4 linked regions of the Oryzias latipes genome follow. The main gene of each other region encodes a partner of the protein of the gene in region 2 in a complex. Links are inferred from orthologs where the notes say so. Each region holds a gene or a part of one and is shown on either strand. Other genes may lie near its edges.

Evidence for each region.
Region 1: mybl1 (region 2) and tfdp1 share a complex: the UniProt entries of both Homo sapiens proteins name them as parts of the DREAM complex. The link is inferred for Oryzias latipes from reciprocal best matches to the Homo sapiens genes MYBL1 and TFDP1.
Region 3: mybl1 (region 2) and e2f4 share a complex: the UniProt entries of both Homo sapiens proteins name them as parts of the DREAM complex. The link is inferred for Oryzias latipes from reciprocal best matches to the Homo sapiens genes MYBL1 and E2F4.
Region 4: mybl1 (region 2) and lin54 share a complex: the UniProt entries of both Homo sapiens proteins name them as parts of the DREAM complex. The link is inferred for Oryzias latipes from reciprocal best matches to the Homo sapiens genes MYBL1 and LIN54.

What each region holds. Positions count from the first base shown.
Region 1 is NC_019879.2:10,684,225-10,691,505, reverse strand, and holds the start of tfdp1 (transcription factor Dp-1), read left to right. Parts: upstream 1-1,995; 5' UTR 1,996-2,100; intron 2,101-2,214; 5' UTR 2,215-2,393; intron 2,394-4,575; exon of another isoform or gene 4,576-4,738; intron 4,739-5,713; exon of another isoform or gene 5,714-6,155; intron 6,156-6,623; 5' UTR 6,624-6,695; coding exon 6,696-6,707; intron 6,708-6,882; coding exon 6,883-6,949; intron 6,950-7,281. UniProt on the Homo sapiens protein: Can stimulate E2F-dependent transcription.
Region 2 is NC_019878.2:17,043,270-17,051,734, reverse strand, and holds the start of mybl1 (myb-related protein A), read right to left. Parts: upstream 5,265-8,465; 5' UTR 5,232-5,264; coding exon 5,160-5,231; intron 4,852-5,159; coding exon 4,775-4,851; intron 3,577-4,774; coding exon 3,477-3,576; intron 3,312-3,476; coding exon 3,240-3,311; intron 3,142-3,239; coding exon 3,049-3,141; intron 2,547-3,048; coding exon 2,326-2,546; intron 2,252-2,325; coding exon 2,059-2,251; intron 1,975-2,058; coding exon 1,900-1,974; intron 1,626-1,899; coding exon 1,518-1,625; intron 889-1,517; coding exon 655-888; intron 566-654; coding exon 218-565; intron 134-217; coding exon 1-133. UniProt on the Homo sapiens protein: Transcription factor that specifically recognizes the sequence 5'-YAAC[GT]G-3'.
Region 3 is NC_019864.2:28,150,962-28,158,254, reverse strand, and holds the start of e2f4 (transcription factor E2F4), read left to right. Parts: upstream 1-2,007; 5' UTR 2,008-2,087; coding exon 2,088-2,252; intron 2,253-5,568; coding exon 5,569-5,678; intron 5,679-6,130; coding exon 6,131-6,292; intron 6,293-7,293. UniProt on the Homo sapiens protein: Transcription activator that binds DNA cooperatively with DP proteins through the E2 recognition site, 5'-TTTC[CG]CGC-3' found in the promoter region of a number of genes whose products are involved in cell cycle regulation or in DNA replication.
Region 4 is NC_019870.2:2,880,495-2,887,774, reverse strand, and holds the start of lin54 (protein lin-54 homolog), read left to right. Parts: upstream 1-1,994; 5' UTR 1,995-2,126; intron 2,127-2,166; exon of another isoform or gene 2,167-2,417; intron 2,418-2,523; exon of another isoform or gene 2,524-2,945; intron 2,946-5,464; 5' UTR 5,465-5,491; coding exon 5,492-6,226; intron 6,227-7,280. Other genes in the region: cops4 (COP9 signalosome complex subunit 4), read right to left, coding at 477-550. UniProt on the Homo sapiens protein: Component of the DREAM complex, a multiprotein complex that can both act as a transcription activator or repressor depending on the context. In G0 phase, the complex binds to more than 800 promoters and is required for repression of E2F target genes.

The DNA of each region.
Region 1 (7,281 bases), on a different chromosome or scaffold from region 2:
CTCCAACCAGCTGCCTGCCTGCAGCATCTGAGCTTTTACAACATTTCGGACTCATCGGGAAACTCCGAGAATTACTTCATTTATCCATCTTTCATTTTTAATAAATCCGCAAAAAAACCTGAAATAATTCCCAATGGAGTGCTACTATCCATGCAGTAAGGATTATTGTGCAACCAGAAAGGTAACGTTGGGTTAGCATCAACATACCCACAGAGCTAGTAAGTTACACTGGCTAATGTTAGCCGAGTTAGCCCGAAGGTAATGACATTAATGAAATCATGAACAGAGGACAATGTCAGTGAGCTCAAGGCTATGTTAGGGGTTTATGCGTGTCCATCATGATGAAGGTCCAGCGGCTGACCCAGTCACAGTCGAAGTTAGCTGACTGCCAAAAAAGGGAGTGTGGCTAATGCTAGCTGCTCTCAAAATATCTACTGACCTTCGGTAACAGCAGCGATTATAAGAAACTAAGGCGTGTAGGCTAACCTAAACGTAGCCCGTGATGTAGTGCAGTCTTATAGTAATATTGTTAATAGAAAACAGAAATGGCACGAAAGCCACTGCACGGGTTTGTGTTTATTTTGGTTACCTACCATTTTTACACCCGCTGTTTGACCAGGTTGGTAGCCCGACTGTTGCTCCGAATGCGCACGCGCAGAAGAAGTTGCTGAGCAGCAATCGGAGGATTCCGAAGAAGAGCAGCTGCGGCTTCTGCACGAGCAATGTTCACCATCCAGTCTGTCCAGAACCCAATTTACCTCTAACCCTTGTGCTATCTTAGATGACCCCCCACCCCCCTTACATTGACGTGTTCTCCCTACTATGACAAAGGTGGATAAAGGTGGAAAGATTTCATGTAATCCATGGACACCAGTGAAGATCACAAATCATTGAAGGAAAAAGGTTCAACACACTGTCAAGTGGGTCTGCTTGACCCAACTCCCAACGTTAAAGTGCCTAGGATGTTAACAAGAATAAAAAACATGTCAGTCGTCTACGAAAGAAATGCAAAAAAAAACAAAACAACAAAACATTATTATTAAATTATTATTATAATTATTATTTTATATTATAATTATTATTTTAATTATTATTAAAATATTATTATTAATATTATCTTTAATGCTGAGAGCCAAGTAGAAAGGTATTATTCACAAGTCTAGTTCACACTCCCTGTCGTTTGCTTTTCTCCTATTTTGATTATACAAGGATTAGCTGATAACACAAGAAAAAAGGGCTTCTGTTTAATTTGGGGACATTCCAGCAGAACCAGTGAAGGTCAATCACCCATCTTCAGGTGTTATTCTGAAAGGACAGAAGAGAAGAGAAACAAAAGTGCCAAACCAGGAATGTAAGTCATTTAAAAGAACATTTTCAAAAATATTTATGAAACTGTTTTGTGTGTTTTAAAATGAGCCTGTGTGACTACACAGAGCTTCACCATCTTTATCAAACAGAACAGTTTTAGCCTAATGATAAAGATAAAAAAGGTTTGTCTGACACCAAACTTTAAGTGGTAACTGGAGCTAGAGGACAGAAGCCTGATAACCAAAGAATGACCAACAAGTTCTAACTTTGGAACCTCTAAAAACTCTCAACAAGCGAAGAATTAGCACAAAATATTAGATCACAACAGTATCAAATAGATATGAATATTCAACAAAATGTTCTTTTTCATCCATTCAATCCATTCATAAAAATAATTTCATCAGCTATTATAATATTACTAATATAATATAATATTACTAAATATAATATAACACAATATAACTTATTTTTAGGTGTACAGTGAGGGCTAAAGCTATTTATGGACTATTTAGTATGTTAGAGATTCTTTCACGAGAAAACAGAATTATCTGAGTTCAGCAGACGAAGAACCAAGCTCGGTTTTATCTTATAAAGAAATGAGTCCACCCATAAACAAGTTTTAATAACTCAGCACACAGTGAGCCCTTGATAACCTATCTGTGAATGTGCAGCTTTCTTTACTCCATGCTGCCGCAGTTTGTTTGATGCGCAAGATGCAGAATGAAGCTCCTCTGTAATGAACTGTAACAGTGTAACACCAATTCGTGGCAATTTCAAGATGTTTAATAGAATGTAATGTTTACTAAAAACTTTCTTTTTTTGTTTTTCTACCTATTTGTTCGAGTCCTTCAGACATTTAACATTTTTTTCATGTATTTAAATGAACATTTTTGTAAACTTCCCTAGGAACATCGCAGACAAAACCAACAACTTATTCCACCAATTTTGTGAGCAGAAGAGCTTGAAGGGGCGCGCCAACGTCGCCATCGCATCCGCCTGCCTTCACATCGCCTGCAGACAGGAAGGAGTCCCCCAGAACCTTCAGGGAGATGTGTGCTGTCTCAGGACCTCAAAGAAATACATTGGTAGGTGTTTCAAGCTGATCCTGTTGGCTCTGGAGACCAGCGTGGATCACATCAGCACAGGTGACTTCATGTCCCGCTTCTGCCCCAATGCAGAAGATTTATTTGAGATGTGTTTCAGTAGTTCTTGAAACACATCATGTTAATGTTCGTATACAGTAAACGCATCATGTGTGTCTGTGTGTGTGTGTGTCAAAAAAGAATGAACAATGGAGTAAAAAAAAAGAAATAAACAAAGAAACACATTGCTTTTCATTGTAATAAAATGCCAAATTCCTAAATCTTGTTGCTTAGTGACCTGCATGCTGTGGGTCTTACCCCCTTATATATTTTAGAGAAGAACATTTTCAATTATTTAAAACAATCACAAAAATAACATGTTTTTACTTTTTCAAGAGGAACTGGAACATTAAGAAGAAGATGATAGATCATCAACTAAAATCTAGCAAACATTCTTTGAAAAAAGATGTCTTTGATGATGGAAACTACACCACTAAGAAAATTTCTGTCATTGCTCATGATTTTATTTTATTTTCTAGTGAAAATGTTTGACTTCTGACCATGTCGCTATGTAGGCTGTAACATGAAATTACTATAACAAGATGGCCTAAGACATAGTTATAAATGTTCAGCTCGCAACAGAGTTTAAAGAAAGCACTATTTTCTGTATCACCCAATAAACTCAGCATTGCTAAACTCTTCACCAGCTAGGAATTTACTTTGATTATAGGACAAAAATTCCGACACCAAACCTCCAAAAATGCAGTTGGAGAGAACTATGCCAAATAGACACACCACTGCAGATAGAAAACTATCAAATTAATTATGACTGCATTAAATTCTTAACTTGGCAGTGTTTGTAGATATAGAATAGAATAGAATAGAATGCCTTTATTATCACGCCTAATGCAATAAATGCCAAAGGTGAGTGCTGGGATTTGGAGTCAGACAAAAAAAAAAAAAAAAGTAAACTGTAACAGTCCTCACCTTTTTTCAATTATGTGTCCTCCTGGTTTATCGTTAACACCTGGGAATGAAAAATAATAATTGGTGTAATTAATTTAAACAACACCGGTAATCTTTATTAACCCAAGGAGTCTGGGCTGAAGCATTCTGCTTGTCGAAGCCCATCAAAAAAACAAACAAACAAAAAAAAACATTCAATTGATTTACTTCTGAATACATATAATTTATATATATACACAATCATACAGGTACACATACATTCACACATGCACAAACACATACATTAATGTTTACTAATTTTCAAACTATGCATTTCAGCTGTCATCTTTCAAAGGTCTTTGTTACTTTCTGAAGTGCCAATTTTTTTTTTTATTGAATAAATCAACAACACACTGTAATGTACAATCTCTCACATAGGATTGTAAAATGGAGACAAAAAAATTATACAAGGAAACTAAAAAAAATAACAAGCAGATATTTGTGGATTGATTCTTTTTGGAAGTTTTAATGATCGGTAATATATTTTGAATTCATTTATTTACAACATGACAAGGAGGGTTTGCTGCTTCTCCATTTATTTCAATGAGCGTGATATTTATTGAGTAATAAAATAATATTAATAGTATTTGTCAATGAATTATCTAGTCAATCCAACTATAGCACATATAGGGGGAATGTAAACTTAATTTGACGTCTAATTTAACGTCTAATGTTTATCCAGAAAACCTATGTATGTGTTCATAAAAGTTTATGTTCCAAAGTTTCATTGTTCAAATTGCAAAAAATTAAGGGTTCAGAAGTGCCATGAGTTAACCTTTTTCTATTTATTTATTTTTATTGATGAATGGTTGAGCATTACAAAAGATTGCTTAACACAGTAAAGCAGCAAAAATAATCCAGTAATTGCAGCCAGAAAACAAATATAGAAGAACAAACCATAGCAAGACAGAATAAACAGAGTTTTGTAATGCAAGGCTCGTCTTATTTTTTTTAGGTTATATGAGGGAGAGTTTTACTTTAGATGCCTTTCATTCACATACTTAAATAATTAAAAGGATAATTAAATCCAGTAAAATAAGAATCCAATAACTAGTCATGCTTGTAGTTTCATGTCATTCCAGTCCAGCAGATGGCGCTACGTGTTTTCCTGAAGTTGGATAGTGTTCAACAACCCCAAGAGATTTTGAACCCCTACTCCACTTGGTTTCGTCCATTGACTGTAGTAACATTCAATGGTTTCGTCTCGTTCCTGCTGTCCAATCAGACGCCGCTAAAGTGAGACACCGCCAAGATCAGATTGTTAGAGTCGCTGCTCCGCTGAACGGCTAGCTGAAAGGGAGTGAAAAGGCCAGGTAACGAACTGCTAACTTGAAGGCGCACCGGTAAGCTGCATTTATTGAATTGTGGCTCGGCGCCTCAAGTAAGAACTTTCAGTTTTGTGCACATGTTTTAAAAAGGTTTGGCGTAATAAATGTCACGAAAACACACTGCTAAGAAACACGGAGCTAACCCCGACGAACGTGCACCTCATACTGAAAGTGTAGATGACAGCTGGGGGTTAGCATGTCCGCTAGCCTTCTAGCTAACAAAAGCGTCGAATATCAACAGCAATCACAAATAGGAGAAAATTACCCCTTAATAGCTATCAGAGTGCCGAATGAAGTACAAACTTTATTCGGTTCCGTCGATGTTCAGGGTACTTTTGTCGTTTTGGATCAAACTCCAGTGTTGTTTATTTGTGTATTCGCGTATTCATTGTAGTCCTCAGTGTACGTTTAGGCTTCAGGGGAAACTACATTTTTACTCAACTGTTATTAATTTTACTCATTGTATTAATTTAAAACATTCAATACAATTAAACTTTGTTGTTGTTTTGCTTAACTCACTTCGGAGGAAAGCTCCTTATTGATTAGTTAGGATTGTTTGTTTATCCACTTGAAAAGTTTGACACAATGCTAACTTTTTAAAAGTAGCGTAACATCCTACTTTTAACTCATTTAAAAAATAAAATGAATTTTCTAGTCACACTGTTTACTCTAGTACGTATTGCATATTAATGCCACAACAGAAATACATCTTTGCTTTAGAATGGATTACAAGCTGAAACTCAAATATTATTTATATACTGTTCTGTTGTGACAGATTTTTATGAAGTATTTCACTTGTGTCTAGTTTCAACTTTGCCTGATGAATGAAGGGTTGTCAGAAACAAGGGCACAGCTGCCACAGTCAAGCAACTGACAAACCTTGGCATCATAAACCACGATTGCGCCAAAAAAAATGAGGACATTAATTTATAGTTGACTTAAGAGCCATAGACCCACGTTGAAAACAATACTTAGAACCTAAAGTAATCTTAAATATAATTCGAAAGTAACTCGACATCGCTTATTTTGTTTCCTGTTTAATCAGGATTTAGACCTCCTCTTCCTCCATTCTCAAATGCCAATAACAACAATCCTCGAAGAGAAAAGAGAGTGCACTCGTAAGTGCACAGGTCTGTTATATTATTCACGAACCCACCGTGTGAAACGCGCATTCACTTAAAGGGCGTTAAATCCTTTTTAGATGTTGAAATAATTTGCACCACGGAGGGATTAATCCGTGAGTTAAATGTGAATCGTGTAGAAACGTGCAGGAGCTAACTAGCAGGCTAGCTGGACCCATCGCTAGCTGTTAGCATTGGGGCGCTAGCTGCATTCACCAAGAGTTAATTGCTGGCATCATTAGTCGCGAACCTACTGGTTTTCCAGCACGGGGGTCTTCTCTGAATTCACACTGTGGTGCTAGAGAAGCCCGGTGAGCAGTTCCGGTCCGGTTGGGGGAAAGTTCGGGTGTTTGTGTGACCTGTAGCAGAAGTTGGACGATGCCTCTCCTCCGGACGTGCTTGGTACCTGAAGTAGGCCTCGGGCACACTTAGCGCTGTAAAAGTTGGGAGCATCCAGGGATGACTTTTTATGGTTTTCTGCGCACACAGTCCGAAACCCAACGGGCTTGAAAGTTTCTGGAAGTTTCGATTCGTACAAAGTGCTTCATAATTCTGTTAGCTTTGTTGTAGTGGAGGAGGAGAGTAGCTAACATAGTGATGTGGTTAGCTTTCCACACAGTGTGCTCTGGTCCAGCAACTTAAATGGGCCCTGTTTAAGACATGAATTTAACCCCAAATAGCGTAAATTATAGCTGAGCTGAGCCTAAATAATTGGCCAAAACATTTCTTAGGTTCAAACAGAAATACGTGTAACTTCATTTCCCCCCTTTTGTCTACAGGAGTTTGAATAGTGCCTGGCAGAGGAAGGTCTTGCTAACTTGAAACAATACCTGTCCCGGTCCTTTTGGATCATGGCTAAAGATGTAAGTTACTAAAAGCATGGATGGAAATGACTGCAGTTTAAATGCAACTTAGTAGGTGTAAAAGAAAAGCACTTGCTGCAACTGTTGTTGCTCATATGTACTTGAGTCTTGCCTAAAATTTGTAATAATAACTTTCATGTTCTTGAGTGTTTTAACATTGATTTATGTTTTTCAGGCTGGTCTGATTGAAACGAATGGAGAACTGAAGGTTTTCATTGATCAGAATTTGAGCCCCAGTAAAGGTGTGTTTTTTTTTTTTTTACTAGTTATAATATGCATACACTTAAAAATAAATGTGTTCAAAAACACTTAATGTGTGGATAAAGTCCTAGTCCGATTCGTGATACTTCATTGGGTATTTCCAAAAGATCGCTCCAATCGCCTTTAAATCTGTTTTCAAAGTAATCCCCGTGGCCATTTACTTATGATTATGCTTTCTTTAGCCCAAATCCTCAAAATCTGTCATTTTCTAGGTAATAGTGTTTGCAGAGCCACAGTTGATCAGAAATCTGCCTCCTAAGAGTGTTGGTGCGGAGCAAGCCTGCCCACTTCCAATCACCCATCTGTTTACACG
Region 2 (8,465 bases):
TCTCTTTCTGGTACTTGTGTGAGGACTCTTTTAGGATGGGGGTGTTGAGAAGGCCCCTCTGGCCGCACACAGGTGTGGAGGTCAGGGCGGGATCTTCCAGATTCAGATGCTCCGTTCCTGATATGTTGCAGAACTGAAACAGAGACGCAGTGCAATACATACCTGAAAAACAATGTAGGGGGGGGGCATAAATTAAATAAAAGAAAAAATATTTTACTCTTGATGGGGTGAAGGGCAGAGACTTTGTTGGTGTTTTCTTGGGTGAGTTTGTGATGTTTTCCAAGAAGGAGCCCATTCTGCCGCTCAAAATCCCCCCCTTCTCTCTTCTCCTCTTCCCTGTAGATGGCTGGGTGCGTTTGGATGAGTTGGGGGGTGTCAGGGAGGAGACCCCTCTTAAATCAAGAGGTGCACAGTTCCTGGCAGGGGAAGCATCCAGTGCAAACTCCAATGGATTGTAAACAGTCCGTTCTTCCAAGACAGTGCTGTAACTCGGCTGATTATGCCTGGGGGGCGTCCCCGTCTGCGGCATGTCAAAACCAGCCATGCTGCTCCATGTGACAGCGTCCTGCAGAGCAAAACACAGTTACTGTAGAGCTTTCATAAATTCAAGGCACGGTGTGTAGATTCTGTCAGTTTTCCTCTTCTGTAACTCACTGTATCGATTAGCTCCATGGTTTCTGCAAACTCTGGGAAGGTTTGGAGGTTGGAGAGCACGGCGCCGGCCTCAGCAGCCAGAAACTTGCTGGGGGAGATAGGAAGATGTGCTTGAGGACCCGGTGGGATTTCAGGGCCCCTCCAGGATCCTTCTTCCAATCGCTCATCCAGACTGCTGTTGCTAGATGCTAAATTGTCTTCTGGTAAACTGCCTGACCAGGCTGGGTATGGCTTCTGAGGACAGGAGAAACAAGAACAACCCATGTTTGGTTGAAAGAGCAAAATAAATCCACACTGTTGTCATACTTGAAACTGCAACACTTGGGTGATTCTACACAAACACAGGAAAAACCACTAACTGCGAAGATGGAACTCGTGATGTATTTGCAATGAATGAAGGGTGGAAAAGGAGACAGTGGGGTCAGAATAAAAACAAAAACCAGACAAATAAAAGGCCAAAGCCAAGTTGCTTGCCGACAGATTATGGTGTGAAGATGGAGAAGAAGGAGGAATGGGAGCGGCTTTTCATCAAACCACATTATCTGCAGAAAGGAGTGCAGCTTCAGCCCATTCTGGGTAAGCAGTGAGATGGGGAAAGGAGTTACTATAGCAACACTACAGCAAATCAGGCTACAGGTTTTCACACATGGGTACCACTCTCGTTTTGAAGTGCATACACTGCAAAAAGAGCATTTTTGTCATCAGGATAGTGATATATTAACAAAAAAAAATAATTTAAAAACTATTTTAAAAATTGAATGCCTTGTTTAGATTAGGAATGCCTTTTTACAGTGTATGCAAGCTACAAACACGCAGACTAAGCTGACTAACGATGCCAACACACATCTGAAGTGTGTTCTTACACATAAACCTCTGCACTGCACTTGTCGTTGAACTTCACTCTCTGCTGACATAAGCAGCAGCTCAAGCTCCTTTATTCTCTGTTCCCTGTGAGGATCATCAAGGCAGGACTGGAATACACAAACGTCAGGAAAGAGCGGTTGAGGGGAAAAAGAAGAGAGGCACAAGTTATGGTAGTTAACAAAATAATCAGAAAAACACACACAAAGACACAACAAAATTGACAATTAATATTTTTCTGTTAGCTGAACATGACAGGACAGTCAAGTATTTGATTTGCTTGATTTGTCCAGAGTTAGCAATCACAAGTACAACTGCAGAGAGAAAGAATAGAACATAAAGCGTTCCGTTCTAGCGTGCAAAGGCAAAGAAACACAGACTCACAGATGGGAAGGCTGGATTTTCAGGAAGACTGTTAACTGTCTGTTCACTTTCAGGATCAAACTGATAGTCTGCAACCTGAAAAACGGAGAACTGAAAAGGTAAAACAGAACAGAAAAGCAGATTCTAGAAAAATGACGAGAAGACTAAAAATCCACGGACCAGGTTGGATCCTGCAGGAGCCACAGGGCTGCAATCGTGCTGCTGGAGTTTTGTAGTAGATGTAGGGCATTGCCTGTTTAGGCGCTTCTTCACAGTAGAAGTGAAAGTCTTGTAGCTGTCTTGGAGGTAACCCTCATGCTCCACCTTTCTTCTCATGGTAGAATTCCAGTGGTTCTTGATAGAGTTATCTGTGCTGTTAACAAGAGGAGGTTTTTTAGGCAAACTGCTTGCTTTAAAACCAAACATGCAACAGTAGTTTCAGATTACCGTCCAGGGAGAAGCTTGGAGATCTCTGCCCAACGGTTGCCAAGGCGTTTGTGAGCTTCGTAGATGATCCGGTCCTCCTCCTGTGTCCATGAGGACTTCTTCACTTCTGGGTTCAGGTGGTTGTGCCATCGCTCACGGCACTGTTTTCCAATCCTTCCCTGGAGGTGCTTTGCAATCACTGACCAGCGCTTCGGCCCATATTTGCGCACCAAATCGATAACCTGAACAAATCAAATTAAAAGTAGCTTAGAGCAAATTGACTTGTGATCCTTAATCTTAATGATAATAATAATGCATTGGTTAAAAAGCATAGAGAACAGCAGCAGCAGAACTTGTTGAAACGTTTTTCTCAGAGCAGAAAAATGTTGTGAAGTCATAGTTGGCTGACTGCACTTCTATTTATAAAGTATGATGTCAGAAATATAAAGCATGAAGACGGACAAACTAAGCTACAGTTGAGGAGTGTAATGCTCATACAAACACACATTCAACTCTAAAACTACAGAATGTCTGTTTTGGTGTATTACACACACAAACTAATAGAAAAAGAACGAGGATAAAGTTAGCACATTTGCAAAACCATGTTAGATTGAAGCTAAAAGTTGCATTGCTTTTTGTGTCACCCGTGTTTCCTCCTGTACCCTCCCCAGGGTTTTCTTCTTTCCCCCTATCATTTTTCTCCTCAGTCATCTGTCCAAAAGAGACACTCCCAGCTCTTCTTACCTTTTGATCTTCTTCTTTTGTCCAGGGTCCTTTCACCAGCTCTGGATTGAGCACCTTCTGCCAGCGGTGCTGACACTGACCATCTGTCCGCCCCTGAGTCACAGGAACACAGAGTGCAACACTTCATCCCACCGCAGGACCGGCTACAACCGTTCTTGATGGAACCGTAACCAGGTGGACTCAATACTTACAGGGAAAAAAGTAGCTACTAGTTTCCATGCCTCAGTTCCGTGTTGCTCCACGAGTTTTTTCAGCTTTTCATCCTTTAATTATGAGTTTAAAAAGAAAAAACTGATAATTCCACGCTTTCAGCAAACATTTTCACAGTGTGCTTTCATTTAGCAGGTGCATAAATAAAAAATATGGTTAGAAATGTCTTCCAAAGATGCATAAGTTTCACCTTTTTTTGGTTTCTATAATAAACATACCTCTTCTCGTGACCACTTTATTTTGCCCAGTCTTTTTTTATCATTGCTTTTTTCTTTACTCTCTGGATCTGTGGACACCAGCTCTTCATCCTCATCAGTACTGAAAACACAACAGGAAAAGGGGAAAAGAACCATAATCATGTTATTATTCTCTGTTCTAATACCTATTGTTTCCTCCTAACCCATTCTTAACATGTAGACCTAAATATGAAAAGTAGCTGTGAAAGTTAACAACTTTAGCTAAAAGAAAATTTATCATAAGCAACAACAAAAAAAATGTTTTACTTCCATTTGGAGTTTTGAAATTTATAAACCAAAACCTGGCAGCAGGAAAAGATCATTGGAGGATGGATTAGGGTTAACCTTAACCTTGATAAACATCTTAATGAAATTAGGCCTACCAATTAAAGGTTCATAAATAATTTAAACATATCATGGGAAAAGCAAATGTGCAAGTATTTCCTAAAATTCAATATTGAATAAGTTATTTTCTTAACACATAAGAACCCAGATCTATTTTCCTTGAAAGAAAATGATGCAATATTTAATGTTTTGCTGTTACAGTGAGGTAGTTCTACAAAACAGAACTAACACATGTTCTAAAGAGCTGAAACGTGCCACCCACAAATATACTAAGCAGTTGTTTTCCGTCTTTTTAGTGTCAGAAAGTCCATGAATGTCTGTTCTTTACTGTGCAAACGTGTCATTATAAACCTAAGTCTGGCCAAACTTCTTCACTGGGGCGACTGTGTGTAAAAACAGAAGGGAGGGGTGTAAGGTGACAAGCGGAAAGGGGCAATCTCACATCAACAGACTCTTTCACTAGCAAAGTGCATTAGTGTGTGTGTTTTTAGGTGTGATGATGTGGCCGCAAAAGCCCACATACATATTTTTTTTCATTGAATTCAATTGAATAGCAATAAAAACTCAATGAAAAATTAATTTGCATGATATAGAAATGCATTTAGAACTACAGTATAACCTTTATGTCGCACGTGAAGGTTACCGAAATTAATTAAATTAAAATTAAATTTAAAAAGTGAAAAGAAAATGTAATATTTTGGCATAACACTACATGTGAATTAACTATATTTTTTATCTTAAAATATGCCGCCATAATAGTGTCAGTGTTGTTACAGAAACTTTTTTATTAGACTGTAATCGTTTATTTTTATAAACAAACGCTAAAATGTTAAATAATGTCAGTATATTCATTTATTTTTAATTTCTATTAAGTATAGAAACAGGAGAAAGGTAGTCGACGAGCTTTGTGACGTTTGAGTATTAATCAGTCTTACCTGCGTGATTTCACTTTGTCCATAACAGCCGACAGCAGAACCGAAAGTTCTCGAAGACAACCCTGTGTTTGGCAGTTCTGTGGAATAATCGCGCGTGAACAGGTGTCTCTCCATAAAACTGCTTTTTGGTCATGAACGACGTCTTCTGAGATGCGGCGACTTGGCGTTTCGGCTAACCAGCTAGCTAACTCCACGCAGAAGAACTCATAACATTACCCAGAACAGGCAGCTGTCCATGAAGATATCATCTCTAATGAAACGCAAACCAACGGTCGCTCTTTATCATATGGGCGCCTCTTACAGATCACGTTTGAAACGCTAGAAACCAATAGTATGCCGACGGGTGTAAATAAAATTCTTGAATAAATTGTCACTGCTACCGCACCTTCCGCTCATAATGTGGGGCTTCTGTACGTCTGCATGGCGTTATAGAGTTGGGTTGGTTTTTTTTGTCCATCCCGCCGATTCTGGCGCTCAGCTCTCTGCGCAGGCGGCTTCGTTCCTGATTGGTCAGAATTAGGGCCGTGTAACACGAGGACTGATACTCAAAACTGATTGGTCCAAATGAGGACGACGAATCTACGGCTGAATGGTCTAAAAGTCCGCAAGGTTTTTTTCAGTGGTCAACGTTCTAAAAGGCGGGTGCTTAAGGTGACAGTGACAGAATAAGCATATTCGGTGTGGGAACACAGTTTACACAACTTCTAGTGATGATAAATATGGTCTGCATTGATGTAATAATAATAATAATAATAATAATAATAATAATAATAATAATAATAATAATAATAATAATAATAATGAGTTTCCACAAATATACCTGAAACCAAATTGCTTGAAACAATTTGGCTTACGGTTTATAATTAAAACATAAATATGAATAAAACATGAAAAACTGTTACATCCATTACATCTCTTCAAGCTGACATTCAGTCTAAACACGTCATCTTACTGCCACCTTGTGGACACAACGTCCATCTGCAGTTGTGTGATGGTTTCCATCACACAACTGCATTTTTTCCCACATTAAAAAAGGTTTTCCTATTCACACCCTGATCTTTATCCTAAAAATTTGCAGAAATATCAAAAAACAGAGGGGAAAAAAGTCTAAACTTCTAGGAGTGGTTTGTCTTTGGGTGACACGTGTAGTGTTAAATTAACCCGTTTTTATTACAAACTAATATATGGAGGGAAAAGCTGATATTAGAAAATGGTGATGTTTACTTAAAAGCCTGTAGATGACTGTTTCACTTGTTGATGCAAGAGTGTTGTCATTGTAAAAAAAAATGCACGGAGCCGGAAGTTGATTACCTTACAAAAATAAGAGCACAAGAAACTTTTGAACTTAGAATGAATAAATGTGTCCGTCACTTTGATTCCAAAATCTACTAAACAACTTAGAACTCTACAATTATTATAAACCTATTTTAGTCAAACATATGCTATTAATTTAAATGACAATGTTATCTTTTAGCAGGATATTGATTTTTAGTTTTAGGATCCAGGTATTATTGAGAGGGAAGAGATAATGTGTTCAAGCTGCATGTTGCAAAAAAATTAAAGATTAAATAAATTATTTATTTGATACAGAGATTGTGACAAGGAAAACAAATTTAACAGGTGGCCAAAAATAATCTCAAATACACGAGAAACATATCCAACCACATCTCCAAAAACTACATGTTAAAACCAGTCTGTGTGGGTTAATCCGGTTAGTTATAGATAAATAAATTTTTTTTGTAATGCACTATGGCTACAGTTTGCAAACCTATTTACACATGGTTTGAAAGAATCTGGAGGTAAACAAGATGGCACAGGTATTTAAACTTAAATTTTGTAATGAAGGTCAGATATGGTCCTGGAAAGTCTCAGGCACATTTCAAGTCTTCATCTAAAAAAAATCTCTGTGAACATCTGAGATTCTAATTTTTTGTGAACAAAGAAATGTGTAAAAGCTTTAGTTTTAGCTAGAACACGTATTAGTTTGTGGATTTATTAAATTAAATTATCTTGTATTTGTTAGTAATCTTTACATTAATACCAATTACAAGTTTGTAATTTCAAAGTGTTGGGTGCTGTTGGTATTTGTTGACATCATTAATTGCTTTCTCTATTAGGACTTACACTCAAATGTTACACTTGTTAAAAACTCATTGAATAATTATTTGATTTAGGCATACCTATTTTTAAATTGAGGTTTATAGTTTGTGAAATATATGTAAACTGTATTATTATTATTATTTACGGTGGCCCAGAAGGGTCACAACACAACACAATAACTTACCTCACAATATTTTTGTAATGAATAAGCAATCTGATTAAGGTGATCACTATTAAATAATAAGGTGTTTTGTGAAACATTTTCCTCCAATATTGTTGTATTGGTGTAAACATTGTCGAGCATCAGTTAGAAGCAATAGTTTGTATTTAAGTCGGATACTCTTGCAGAAACCAGCATGTTTTATTCAATGTGAACAGTATTTCCACCGCTCATCTGATCATATCAAAGGTAAATTGGGACGTTTCGTTTTATTTTGAAAATCTGTATCGGAAGTCCACATCGCCGGGGATGTGCGGTGGATGCAGACTTTGTGGTCCCGTGACAAATTCATTGGAACTTTCTATGGTAAGGAAAGACCGATGTTTCCTGCTTTTGTCGTGTGTCAGCGACGAGACTACAGCGATCAGGTGGAGAACTTTCCCAACGTTCGGTCTGACGGGGACCGGATGAGGATGGCTGGAATGACGGTTAAATAACCCAAACGAAAACCACCCTCACCGGAGCCGCGAAAATTATTGATGGCTGGCATTGGCAGAATCAAAATACAGTAAGGTACGTGATGTTCACCTTAACGGCTACCTTTGTCAGTGATTGCTGGCGTCCCGCCGGCTAGCTAATTTGTAGCAACAAGAGGTGTATTTCAAAATAGAACCCCAACTGTTGTCAATTATTCTAAGATAACTCGCCGTGATTTATTTACGAAACTTTCTCGACGTTGAGAGAATTTGGCGTTTAAAAAAACTGCATTAAAAGTAAGGGAAGCTAGTTAGCTTATTTAGAAACGCCAATTGTTTACGTTAATGTAGTGTATAGTTTTCACGTGTGTGCTTGTTATGGTAGTGATAGATCTATTTACTACTATTATTTACCGTTTGAGGCCCCTCCTTCCTCTTCAAGATCGTTTTTCCCTACTTTAATTGTGTCACGTGACCCTTTTTTTTCTTTTTAAAATTGTGCCCTTGGCGCTGCCCACACAGTTTGGGTTGGGAATCCCTGTAAATTTAGTAGACTGTTCTAAAAAAGTAAAGGAGAAGGCTGCATGTAAGGACTGTGTTTGGGTCTGTTCTAATGAGTCAGCACCTTGGGTTTCGGTTCATCTGTGAAATAGTGACCTTTGCGGTCTATTTTTTGTTATTTTTTCTGCTTTTTAAAGCACATCTTTACTGATAATAGACGTGTGTTTTTTTTAGGGACTTCCTTGTTTTCTGGTGGGATGTGGAAGTTTTTAGTGACTTAGTCCTCCTAGTTCCACAGGTGGTTTGGTGTCAATAAGCTTTCATAAAATGCCAACAACGTCCTGCTTATTTTAAGCCTGAAGGATTAATTCACACTTGGCAGCGTTTCTTATATTCCATGTGGTCCGTCTCAGTCCAGCTGTGAACCTTCTCAGGATAAATTAAACAATTTTAA
Region 3 (7,293 bases), on a different chromosome or scaffold from region 2:
TTTTTGAATGTTAGGAACTATTATTATTTATCAGTTAAAACAGATTTATTGTGACAGAATAATATTATTTTACAGATTGTTGTGAACATTTCTTATGTAGTCTCCCTCTACAGATCATTTAGTCGTAGTTTTGTCACGATTGGGATCACTTAGTTTTGAATCTAAACATTCCTTGATTTAATAATAGTGTAAAATATTAACTTTTATAAAGCCTCACAATTAAAAAAAACTCCATCAAACTACGTAGAATTTGAGCATTATATATAATAGTATATAGTTGTGTGCTAAAGTCTTTAGCAGAAAAATATTGTAAACGAAGAAAGCTTTTTACAAATGAGAGTTGATAATTTATTTTCCTTTTTCAACAAAATTCAGTAAATAAACAAAAAGATTCTAATCAAATCAATATTTAATATCACTACTTTTGTTCCTTCAATCCTGCATCAATTCTGTTAGATACACTTCCACAAAATCAAAGATTTTTGTAGGAATACCTTCAGGTCCATCATCGAGAATTTATACCAAACAAATGCTAATGATCCCTAATGTCACACATAGATTGAAACCTGGTCAAGGACTGAGTCAGGAACAGCTGTGATGGACGCTTAAACCTGGGGAGAACAGCCAAACTCTGCAAGGTGAGGTTGTGAAAGACATGCACATTTCTAACATCTTGTAGTTAAATTAAAAAATTTTACTGCATCAAGTAACTTATAAACTTAAAGATATGTAGTTCAGGGTGTAGCGGTTCATTTTAACAACAAATCAATTTATATCATGATTTGCTGTTCCTGATACAATTAATAGCCAATATTGGTTCATTTTGAACGATCCAGTTCAATCACTGACCTAAAATCCAGCCAGGACATTTTTAGCCAAAACTTTTAAACCAGTGTGACTCTGGTACTCTGATACTTCTGGCAAGTGTAGAGTTGATGTGTACACATAAACAAGTAAACAAAAATTAAAAGAAAATCCATTCAAATTTTGGTTTCATAAAGTTGTAACACATGACCACATGTCTTTACACAATTCAAAGTGTTTCCACACATTGGACTGTAACATTCTTTTTTATTTTTTGGCTGCCACCACATATGTGTTGTCTGCTGTGATGCACTTGGTCGCTTTTATGTTACGGTAAAATAAACCTACCATGTCTCCAAATGCTATTTTCCAATCTTGACATTTTCGATTTATTTAATTTTGAAAAGATTTTATAATAGTTTGAATAGATAATAGATTAACAACTGCCCTAGAAAATATGTAGAAATATAAAATTGTTTCACTGATTAAGTCGATTAATCGTTACACCCCTATAATAACTTTTAAACTTAAATTATGTGGTAACATTTTTGTGGTTAAAAAAAATAAAGTCGTTAGGATGCAATACTGAACTCAAATAGTTAAATTCAAAATATTTAATTTACAAACCAATGTTTACACAGTACACTAATTCGCACTGCTTTGCAACCTTGAAAATGTTTCAGTCAATGACAATGTGGTTTGGAAGAAAAGCTTTAGAGGGGAAAATAATTTTCAAATATTCATTTGAAGAACGGTGCCTGCGTGTGCGCGCGTGGAAGTGCGTTTTCTTCAAGTTTAAGTTGCTAAGAGTTCGAGTTAAACTTTCTCCTCTACCAAAAATTCTTGCAACCAATACTTCCCCTAAAATCGCAATAGAAAAACTACTAACCGTCTTTTTTCATACTTTTTTCAATGTTACATTAAAAATAAATCACTAGAAATACATGTTCGTGCTAGCAAATGTATTTTTTACGTGGTTTTATTTTTTCATGAACATTTGCACACGGTCCCTAAAACGAAAGCACCGTCCCGTCATACCTCGCGTGGCCAACGGCTCTCCACCGACTGCTCCTTCATTGAATTTCCATACTCGCTGCTTCAGCTCGATTTTGCTCAGTTATTTTCAGAAAAGCAGCTAGTATTGACTCGTAAATTTGCACCACACCATCCACGCGTGTGTGTTTCGAACTGCGGCGGTGGAGCTTTCTTTCTTGGGCTCGCTGGCTGGATTTAGTCGGAAAGCAGGCAAGAGAAGAGGGGAAGTACGGAGCTGATCCGGAGCAATGATGGAGCTGGAGACGGCCAGTAACAGAGGCGACCCGGGAACCGTGGGAGACTCGCTGCAACCGCAGACGCCGAGCAGGCACGAGAAGAGCCTGGGCTTGCTCACGACGAAGTTCGTCACTTTATTACAAGAGGCGAAGGACGGAGTCCTGGATCTGAAAGCTGTGAGCTCTTTGTTGTTAGCTAGCACATGTCACTTTGAGCCAGCCCGCAGTCGTTAAGTTACATGGTATCTAGCTAGCATGCTAGCCTAGCTTAGCTGTGTGACAGGCTAATTTGAATGAAAGATAGCTTTGCCTTCTAAGTTTGTTGTTTTAGTTCACCACTTTTACAATTAAAATCACATTTAATATTTTATGGTGCAGATTTTTGCCTTTCTGAGTGAAGAAACGAAGTGAATTTCAAGAACACCGGTCAACTTTTTTCGACTCTCTGCCCCCCTGCAGATTCAAAGTTTAGAAAGTGGGTCAGCTTTTGTCATTCTACTCTCAGTTAAAGCCACTGCACCTTCACACTTGAGCAAGTTTGTTTTATGATTGATTGCGTCTTTGTCCACGAACGACATGCGTTTATAATGTTGCTTTTCAGAAATGACTCAAAGCGTGAAGTAGTACTCGCACAGATGTTGATTAAATTAGGCTAGCTTTGTTTTTCACAGTACAGGGGCCACATTTCCACATTTCCATCACTAGCTTTAATGCAGGAATGTTTACTATTGGGATTCTGCTAAAGTCCCACATTGTTTGATGTAAAAGCTCAAATAGTTTTCTACAAATACAAAAAAATATATAACGTTTGCACTTTTCATATTTTTACATTAGGGGTGTTACGATTTATTTGAACAATTTGATCCACTTTATAATTTGTGCTTCACGACATGATTTATAGTCCGGGACATCTTTAGCCAAAACATCAATCAGTGGGACTCAGAGATAAATAAATGGGTACTGAACAGTGTCACTTGTATTTCTTGTAAATGTAAATAAAATGGCTTAACAAACAAACAAGTAATTCCCATTTTAGTGTCAAAGTTCAGCCCACTTTTGCCATAGATAGGGTTGTTACGAATAATCAGTAAATCGATTTATATTGCTGCGATCCAACCAGATTGACCTGAAGCAAGTTGTTAATTGAGTCAACGTGTTTTATTATTATAAAATCCTTTCAAAATGAAATAAATCAATTATATGGATATAGGAAAACACCATTTGGATTGAGGTTCTGAAGGTTTATTTGACCATAACTGTAAAAATAACCGAGTGCATCACAGTAGACAACACGCATGTGACGGCAGCAAAGCATGACCAACCATCATTACGGCTCGATGTGTGGAAACATAATTTTTGACCATACAGTGTGGTCATATGTCGCAACTTGATGAAACCAAAAATGTGAATGGATTTGACTAGGGCTGCACGATATAATGAGGAAAACTCGCGGTATGCGATATTAGTGATAAACATTGCGATGAGGATATAACTTGCGATACATGAACAAATAGCAAAACGATCAAAACCATAATTTCCATTTCACTGCAACAGTTTTAATTTAAATAAGAGTTGCCCCTCGTCTACATAGGAGGCCAACATAAAAGAGCTCCATCCCATTGGTCAACCACGTGAAAGGCTCCATCTGATTGGTCAAATGTTTAAATGAATTTATTTGATTCATTAAATACTTCAAGCTGCTATGAGATTGTTTTAGCACTCTTAAGGTTACGATTTATTGCAATTTTTGCAGACTTTTGCATGATATATCATATCATGATAACGATAAATTAGTGATTTATTGTGTCTAGATTTGCCATTCATTCTTGTTTGTGTGTTTGTACACTTATTTAATTTACGCTTGGTTATTTTGCAAGGAATCTGGAAAACCTCCGCTGTGCTGTTCAGTACCAGGTATTTCTCTCTGAGTCCCACTGATTGATGTTTTGGCTAAAAATGTCCTGGATCTATTTTAGGTCAGTGAATCGGATCGTTCAAAATGAACAAATATCTACTATAAATCGTATTGTCAACCACAAATTATTATATTAACCGAATTGTTCAAAAGGATCAATACACCCTAAAAAATGTAACATTCTTAGAACATTCTAGCCCACTGGATGGGACCATGTCTTTGCTAAATTCAAAGTTTTTCCACAAACTGGACTGGAATGACGGTTGATCAGTTTTTGCTGATATCACTTGTGTGTTGTCTGCTGTGATGGTCGATTTTACATTATAGTAAATAAACCTAACGTGCCTCAATCCAAATGGTATTTTCCAATATAACTAATTTATTACATTTTGAAAGGATTTTTTTTTAATGGTATAGGTCGCTTGGATCAGCAACTTGCCTCAGACAGATTTATTTGGTTGGATCGTAGTAATATAAATCAATTTATCAAATAAGTGGATTGATTGTTTCCCCCCTAATGTACATATTTTTCTATAACAGTCATAGAAGAGAGACACTTGAGTCTAAAATCATTTAAATTACAACACACTGATTCTGTTTTGTTATTTTCTTAACTGTCATTTTGACCATTCAGGCATTACATTATGTATGAAGAGTTCTGCTTCTTCTCTTTTTGAGTCTGTCTTCCTGATCATTTCCTTCTTGTGTGACTGGGTTGATATAGTGTCTGCTGATACTCTAAGCTGCGCTGCACCTCGCAGATAAAACACTCCACGCACGTGCACACATTTTTTTTCTTTTTCTTTCCAACTGACTTCACTTTGCAACCCTTTTTGCTAAGTTTAGACGTATCAGCACTTTCCACAATGTTGCCGTGTAAATCACCAAGAAGCCGGGCCGGTTACAGGACTGGGGATCCGGCCAAAACATTTAACCAATTTGAGTAACATTCACAAATTTAAGACTCGATTTTCAGGTTAATCAAGTCCTTTCAAAGCTTGAGTTCTTTGGTTTAGAATAATAATAATAGTAATAATAATAATAATAATAATGGATTGGATTTATCAAAACAATTTATATCTAAAAAACAAAAAATGGAACTTTTATTAATAATTAGATTAAAACGTAACAAATAGCGGCATATTTCCAGTATTAAAAAAAAAAATTCAGTCATATTTATCTGGGCATTTGATACCCAGATGATGATAAAGATCAACGGGATTCATTACCTTTTGTTTGTTGTTGTTAAACCGGTACAAGCTGGTTGGTAAATGTTCCGTTCTTTTGGGGCATTATTGTTGTACTACACACATCATTCATTTCTTTATCAGTCTGAAGGAATCAAGCAGCAATCACATTAATAAAATGGTTTCATTGGAGTTCACATACGCTTTAAAAAGAGCAGAAAGAATGTCATTGTTTGGTGTTTGTAAAAAGATTGAACATGTTTTATGGTCAGAGGAATTGTATGTATTACTTATATGAAACATCCCACTGATGGGTGGAACAGACTGTTGGAATAATTTCTCTTTTGAAATCTTTTTCTTGTATGGTAAAAGTGTTTCTCCTGTTGTTCAGGCTGCAGATACCTTAGCTGTGCGACAGAAACGGCGGATCTATGACATCACCAACGTGCTGGAAGGTATTGGTCTAATAGAGAAGAAATCCAAGAACAGTATCCAGTGGAAGTGAGTGCATTTTCATCTTTTGCGGAGTTTCTTTTTGTTTGTTTTTTTAATTGCAGAACACTCCTGAGTGTAAGCTGCAGCCCTGGCCAAACTATGCTAAAAATAAGAGACTTATACTCCAAATAATACAGTACTAAAACAGATTTGTATGTACTTTCCCTTGGAGCTGAATCGCAGCTGTCAGTTCTGCTCTGGACCACTCATTACCATAACAAGTCACAGGTTTTGGATCAGGTTTGGTCTCAGTCTGGAAGAGGAGTCTTCTGCCAAACCCCTGTGTCCGCTGGAAGCGGTGATCCGGCATGAGAACCTCCATCAGAGTCTGGCCTCTCACCTGTGCAGCAGCATCTGTCTTCTTTCCAGACTAGAAACGGAGGACAGCAATTTATCTCTGCTTGTGTTTGAATGTGACTGTTCTCTGCCTGGCTGAAAGCAACCCGCTTGTGTTTCAGGGGTGTCGGTCCGGGCTGCAACACCAGAGAAATCGCTGATAAGCTGATTGATCTGAAGGCGGAGCTGGATGACCTGGCTCTCAGGGAACATGAACTGGACCAGCAGCGCGTCTGGGTCCAACAGAGCATCAAAAATGTCACAGATGACTCCAACAACAGCCCATATCCTTGAATAGAAGCCATTTATATATATTTACTCATACCTGCTTTGGTATTTTTTGAAGGGAGAAGCACTTGTAATATTTAATTATGTGTTTGTTAATAGAGTCAAGTAAATCTTCTGGTCTCACTCTCCAAAATTATTTCCAGATGAGAAAAAACTAAAACCTCTGATGACTAAAGGACATTTGATGGTCAATAAAATTGTTTTTATTGTGTTTGCCTTAAAAAATGCAGACTTTACCATTCTGCACATGTCATAAAGACTTCAGCTACATTTTTTAGGAGACCTTTAAGTGGTTTAGATGCTCAAACGTTTCATTAAAGCCTAAACAGCGTTAAATTGTGACATTTCTAGTGCACAAAGTTAAGATAAAATTGGAGTCGGTGAAACCTAAACTGCTCATAAGCGGTAATAATTTATATTAGTCCCTTCATGTTTGAAGAATCTGTAGCGTGAGGCTCTATCTGAAATCTGTGGATATTATTAATGTAATCTGATTACATCAATGATGTAATTAAACAAAATTATGATTTTAGGATTGGATAAAAAATATTCACTTATAATTGAGAGATTAAAGTCCCACTCGGGTCATGTTTTGATCTATTTTCAAAGCGTTTCCAGTGGTCTTTTAGTTATGATGATGCTGTTTTTAGGCGTTCTCTATCATATAGTTTCTGCAGAGCGGCATGCGTTCATTAAAAATTCACCTCTTAAGTTGTGGGCGGGACCATTGGCGCAGAGAAACACCGCCCCTCCTTCTCTCCTCGTTTCGTGGGCGGAGCAGGGAGCTTGTGGCCCGCCCAGCGTGTTTTCTGTGTCACAAATATGATCTTTTTCACAACGATTTGAACAAACAAATACCCAGAACTTCAATTTAAAGCTTCATTTGCTTTAAATATGTTCCCATCAACAGAAGAGAATGTTAAAAACACAGTTTTCATTGGAGTCTTGATCTTTTTGTCTTATGGTATCACTTTTTGAGTCTCCTCTTGTTTTTAGT
Region 4 (7,280 bases), on a different chromosome or scaffold from region 2:
TAAAAAAGGGATTAAATGAATACTCTGGATCGAAAAGCTCTGAATTATTCACCTTCCGCGTTTTTGCTGCATGTGCCTTAGTAATACAGGCCTCAATGTTATTTTAACAACATATGAATTGTTTAAAAGTTAAATCTGTGAAGAAGAAATGTATTTCATGATCAGAACATAGCAGTTAAGTTAAACTACATCTTCTTCTTGCTCCTAAAATGAGCCGAATTTCGTGACAAACTAAAAGAAACATTCGCGACATTGTATCGCTTGTTATTAATTCAAAAAGGCGAATCCAAATCCTTAAATAATGAATATTTTTCATAAAGTTCAACGGTTAAGATGACAGCTACACGGCTAAGCTAGCTTAGCTGGCGCCTCTCGTTTGCTTTCCCGCTGCTGATGGACGGTTTTTACGGCGTTAAAGCAAACACGTCCCGCTGTTTTGATCGCATCTCTTTACCCCCGGAGTCCACGCTACGTACTTGGTCGCCAGATCTTTGTGAGATCCACTGGAGTTCATGAGCTGCGCGAGCTCCTGCCTCACTTCGGCCGCCATTCCTGCCAGTGTGGAGGCGCGTCAACAACACCGGCGTCCTTCGGAGCTGAGACAGGCGCGCTCCCGATACGTAAACGGCCGCGGAAGCGCGCACGTACAAATAATTTTTTTGTTTTAATAAAAGTTACCTTTTTAATTTTGTAATATTTTGAACAATTTTGAACAGATGTTTTTAGAAAAAATACAAACTTGTAGATATTTTTTTAGTCTTCCCATATAGACGATAAACTAAAAAATAATTGGTTTTGAAGTTGTTGTTTATCATTTTTAACACATTTCTTTTGGCTTGTTTGATGTCAATACTTAAGTTTAAAAATAAATAAATTATGTAATTAGCATTAATCTTTCATCTAATGGCTTTTTAAATTGCAGCAGTGTTTTTAAATTATTGCCAGAGTTTTTTTTAATTGAAGTTATTAAACTCTATTATGAGGTCTGTTTCATTTCATCAAATGATCTAAACTAAATTGTTACAAAGTTTTGTTTCCTTTTTCAACCGTCAGTGAAGCTTTTTTCCTAACTTTAAGTGTCTCAGCATTTATATGTGCATTTTTGCAGGAAATCCTCTATTTATGTTCATTTTACATATTTCTTTACATTTCTAGATACCTAAAAGTGTGGGTTAAATAAATAAAACTTTTATTATTAACACTTGTATTTAAAAATATTAACAGATTTTTTCCCCCCATTAGATGATTAGAAATTTGCCTCTAAGTTGTGGGTGAGACAAAGGAAGTTGAGCAACCCTCCTTCCTGTCACCAATAACTGAGAGCTCTCTTTTTGCCTCCTCTCCCACTATATTACAGCCCCTCACACCCCCAACCTAATATTAAAGGGGGCAATGACAATGGTGAGCAACATTGGAGCTATCCAGCTGTACAGTTTTGATCCAGATACCAGCTCAGATGAGGAAAACAAAGACATCTGCTGGGAATAGAGCAGGGAACTTGTGGCCAGCATAAAGTTGACGTCACAAATGTGATCTTTTTCAAACTGCAGGTTTTTAACCTGCCCCTGACTCACGCCAAAATGAATAAAGAAATACACAAAAATGCAATTTTGAGCTTAATTGTCCTCCTTAATCAGAAAAAATGCCACAAGAACATGCTTAAAAAAACAAGTTTCATCGGAGTGGGTCTGTAATATTAAATACAAAAAAATTCAAGATAAAATAAGTCATAAAATCAAATACAATATATTAAAAAAAATCTTGCAGTTTTTCGGATTTCACGTGTTCTGTAGTACTGTAATATAATTTAAAGTCCAGATGAAATAAATTTAAAAAAAAGGTTGATAATTAGACCACTTACAATTGTGAATTTGACATTTTCTGAAAAAAACAGCTGATTATCAAAAACATTACATTTTTTCTGAAATTATTCTGAATAAAATTTCAGGACAGATGAATGAGGGGGCCTGTCCCTTTAAGAGTTACGTCACGGTGGTGTCACGCGAGGAGGGCGTGGCCGGCCTGTGAAATGTCAGGGAGGAATGGCGCTCGGCGCGGTATTTTGAACAATCGCTTTTACCTTTCCTCGCTTTAACTGGAAACGCTACCCAGCGTTTAAATCCCGGGTAAGCACGATTACCTGTTACCGCCTTGTGAACTTTACCGCACCGTTTGCACTAGAAAGCCGCGCACTTAGGAAGCTGTTCAATGTTGAGGTATAATGTTGTGCTAGCTAGCTGGGGTTAGCCAGCTCAGCAACTTCGCTAGGAGAGTTGTCCTGCCTGCTGGATGAAGATGAAGCCGCCGATGAGGAACCGGGTTTTCACTGACGTTTTCCGCTTTTTTTTAATGAAATAAAACAAAAAAACTTTCGTGCGCTGGGGCAGAAATACGCTGTTAACTGCTTGCTAATGAAGGTAAAACAACAACAAAAAACACAACTGGTTTGGGGTGTTAAGCCACTATTTCGTTGTTTTTTAATTGAACTGAAATTAGTGATCTTAGTAGTTTTTTCAGTTATCTTTAAAGCCTACGTTACAATCAATTTAATTACATTTTTAAACTCTAAGCTTTTTTTTTTTCAAAAATAAAAAAGGGGACATTTATTAACCACCGGAAACAAATTTAAACATGTGAAAACAACCAACGTTTTTGTGGAAAAGTAGTTCATCTGAGTTCTAGGTGTTGCAGTCCGAGAGAAATCCAAACTGACAGGAGGAATTGTGGGAAGCTAGCATTGTTTACACTGTCACAGAGTCCGCTCCGGGTGTTTGTGCGCGTGCCCCGGATTTCCCGGGTCTGCCCTCGAGCTCGGGGGAATGCCTTTGTGCTTCACCGTGAATCTTCTCCGTTTGGTGTCTCCGGCGGCTGGCGTGTCCGCTTTCAACGGAACCTTTTGTCAGTTTTTCTGCGCTAGCAGGGCAGCTAACCGAGTTGATGACGAGGTAAAAATGGCGGATCTTTCGAAATCCAACGCCGGCCTGAAATAGTAACGCAGACCGTAGACGCTTTCCCCCCCGTTGCTTCATGTCCTCGGTTAGACCCCCTCCCTCTGGTTCTGACTGAAAGCGGGTTTGGGCCCGCCTCCTCGCGGGGGAGGAGGAGGGGAGGAGTTCAGGTGGACGTGGGGGGAGGTTCGGGGAGGGTTCGCGCGCTTGCGTTGAGTTGGCCATGCACAGGACCGCTGCGGCCTAACAGACCATCAGCTGTCAGCCTCTGTCACAACCAGCTGATGTGCACATCCCGGGACTCCTGCACCAGAGGCGTGACTTGGTGGGGTTTGGGGTGTCTCCGTTGAGAAACACCAGAGAGGATTTAAAAAAAGAAATAAAAGGAGATCTTTCCATTTGCATTTATCACGCAATCTTTATTACGGTGATGGACTCAACCTTTAAAAAAACTACAACTACTGGCTGAGAATTGTACGGCTGGATTGCTCCAATATTGCTCATCGTTCTTGTTGCACTGGCAATGTTCGGTTGGGGGGTGTGAGGGGCTGTAAGCCAGAAGGAGAGAGAGTGTAAACAAAGGGATGATGGGAAGTCAAAGCAGGCTTAACACACCCCCCCCCCCCCCCCCCCCACCAGTGGTTCAGTCCCCAACTCTGAGGTGATTTTCTGATTAACTCCTGTTGCTCTGCAGGAACTATGTCCTAGGAAATGACAGTAGTTTTTGGATTATTGGCTAAATACGGCAGAATCATAAGTACAAGACCACTGGGAACACTTTGAGAATAGATCAGAAGATGATTGGAGTTGGACTTTTATTGTTGGGTGTCTATTGTTTTGTTTTCAATGTTGTGACGACACTGAATTGTGGGATTTCTTTCTCCTCTCCATTCTGGTCCCCAACATTTTTCAGGCTTGTTTGCGGCTGAAGTGGCTGTCAGATTTTCTTTTACCTCCCAGCTTTGTTTTATTTTTTAGGGTAAAGTTTATCTTCATCCTCTGTAAAAACAGAATTTCCTGAAGGAATCATTAAAATGTGAAATAGATTTTCCCTGAACCAATAACTGTCGAAGTGGAAGACGCCAACTTCAGCTTCGTCTGACCTTTAGTCACTGAAACTGATATTTTCTAAACATAAATGTAAATTTAACATTTGAACAACTTTATTAGCAGCGTCCTCGTAACATTAGACAGCCTTTTGCTGAATATTGTTGTTGTTATTAGTGTGTGTGTTTGTGTTTATGGGGGGGGGTTACAATAATCCACATTTGGAGTAAAGACTCCTGGTTTATGTCTGTTAAATGCAGTTTTCTGTTTCCTCTCTGGATCTTTCCTGCCAAAACAAACTTTCCAAATACGTTTTGTTTTTTGTTAACTTTGCTAGCTTGGAGATTTAAATTTAGCGGTCGGTGCAGCCACTTTAAGAAAGATGCATTTCCTACATGTGTGACTTGACAGAGAGGAATGTGGGTCGTGGGTTTTTTCTCTCTCTCTCAGTAAAGAGTAACGCAGATTTGCAGAGATGCTTCGACTAATGCACAGGTGAATTTTGACTAAATTAAGCAAACTATGGAGGCTGAGACCACAGAGTCTGCAGAACTGGAGATACGATCCATACTGCAGAAAACAGAAATACACGGAGTCTTGGATCAAAATGTTGTTGTTTTTTAAATGACATATTGTTTTTGTACTTCTGATTGTCTTATTTTTTTTTTTAATCCATAAAAAAAACAATCTCATTTCTGTGATCTCTGCTCAAATGTACTTAAACGTTCCCTCTTTGACAGAATTTGTTGTATTTTATTGTAACATTTTCCGAACCCCCTCCCCTCGCCAACGAAGTTTCTCTAAGAAAACGTTTAGTTCAAATCTCATGGAGAATCAGGCCATGTTATGTGTGGCTACCTCCACACCTCTGCTAGCTGTGTTTACTTTTCTTATAGTCTGTTCTTGCAGTCAGTTTGTTGAGATTCTCTAAATTGATGCGTTTTTGTCAGTAAAAGGCAAAGTTTTATGTGTAGAGCACCTTTCACAGTCTGAGGAAAAGACTAAATCTGTCAGCATCCATCCATCTATCCACCTTTACTCTCACCCTGTGCAGACATTGGGGTTGCAGTCCATCACAGCACCACACACAAACGTTCACACACAGTAAAAAAAAAAGTAAAAGGATATTCCCAGGTGGTGCGGTGGTTGACCCTCTCAACTCAGTCAGGAGACTTTAGTTTGGATCCTTTTTGTGGGGAGTTTGCATGTTCTCCCTGTGCATTGTGGGTTTTCTCTGGGCACTCTGGCTTCCTCCCACACTCCAAAAACATGCTACAGAGGTTCATTTGTATCTCTAAATTGCCTCTAGTTGGGAATGCATGTGTGTGGTGTTCACCCAACAGTAGCTGGGGTGGCTTATGTATGTAACCCCCGTGACCTTAAAGGATTAAGCAGGTTCTGAAATGGATGTGTATATATATTTTTTCTTCTATTTTTCAGCATTGTCATTTTTTTTTTTGTTTCTCCAGGATTGACAGAGCGGAGACGCTGCAAACATGGACGTGGTGTCACCCGAGTTGAACAGCCTCCTTCCTGATGAGATCATGGACACGGAGGCCATGGAGGAGGCGCCTCACTCTCAGCCCGACAGCGCCGCGGTCCAGGCGGAGCCCTGCTACGACTCCACAGTTCCCATGGAAACGGACGTCCCGCAAACTCCCAGCGTCTCCGAAGACGCGGCGCCGACGGGTAACTCCCAAACCCAGCTAACGCCTACGGACTCCACGCTCAGCCCCAGCAGACATTCCTCCATCCTCATTTCCAGCGGCCCGTCGCGCCTGGTCACCCTCAAACCGGGCCTGGCCACCTCCACGGCCCCCACCAAAACCACGGACAGCGTGACCGGGACGAGCATGTCCACGGGCGGCTTACAGAAGCTCACCGCTCCCTTCACCATTTCCTCCGTCAACCATCAGATCATCCTCAACAAGGTGGCCTCGTCTCAAGCTGCGGAGGCTGCAAAGTCTGCGGGGCCGCCGCCGCAGGTCATCAAGCAAGAAGGACAGAAGCTGCTGGTCACGACCATAGGGAAGTCAGGACAGCCGATAGTGCTGCAGCTGCCGCATGCGGCCAGCAAACCCGGCGTGGTCCAGGCCTCAGGAGACGGCAAGGCCCCGGCTCCGCAGTTTAAAGTGGTCACGATTGCTGGGGGGTCAGAACTGAAGCCAGTGGTGGGGAGTGGAGGCAACCAAGTAACCGCAGTGCAAACCCAGCAGCTCAAGACTATACAGGTAACCCTGAGCGCAGAGGCTGCTACTGTGACCTTTGAACTCCCATTAGCAGGACTGTGAGAACCTCAAGACCCACTCTTGTCCTTGTGGCATTTTAGTCATGATGAAGAATGTATATAAAAAAATTAGAGGTATAACAATGCATTTTTAAAAGCAAATTGATACACATCATAATTAGTGGTTGCGATGCGATTCCCAGTCAATATTGGTTCATTTTGAACTGACTGAACAAACGTCGATCCAGGACCTCTTTAGCCAAAAGCTTAACCAGTGTGACTCAGAGAGAAACATCAGGTACTGAACAGTCCAGGTGACGGTTTTTCTTGTATTTATTGAAAGCAGTATTTCTTTGCCAGTTTTAAGTAAATGGTTTATTTTCAGTTTTAATGAACCGAATTGTATTTTCATTACAGTGACAAAATAAAACTGTAATAAGTAGAAATTACTCATTTTAGAACAAAAGGAGAATCTTAAAACAAGTTGTCTTAATAAATTTTGATACATTTTATTTAATTTTTTTGAAGTTGAGTTTAAATAAAAATTATTTGGACTCATTTAAATAATAATTTCCTTATTTCTAGATCCATACGAGGCAAAAAATTCTCACCTGTGTAGATTTTTTTTTTTCCGCAGAGCTCGGGAAGTTTTAGTTAAAACAACTTTAAACCTGGCTAAAATATCTTGAATCTTTGCAGCAATCAAATAGTTTGCACTGTTGTAATTGCAGTATTTTTTGTTGAAACTCTTTAGTCTAAAACGATCCAGATCACATCCTCCAGTTTGGAGACGATCCAGATTCCCGTTTTTTTAAGGCCTGGTTGGTTTTCTGCTCTGCGTCAGATCAGTCTTCAGGTCATCGCCGATGGCCTTGAATCTTCCGTCAAACATCAGAGACGTGCGGTGAAGCTCAGGAGTGAAGCATCGCTTTTTAAATGTGTGTAAAAATGAGGAAAAATTCAAACTAAGTCAAACTTTATTTAAAATATGGGATCAGATGAGAATCAACTTAAAGTGAATAAATAAGCAGACTGTAAATTTGAAGAACATTTATTTT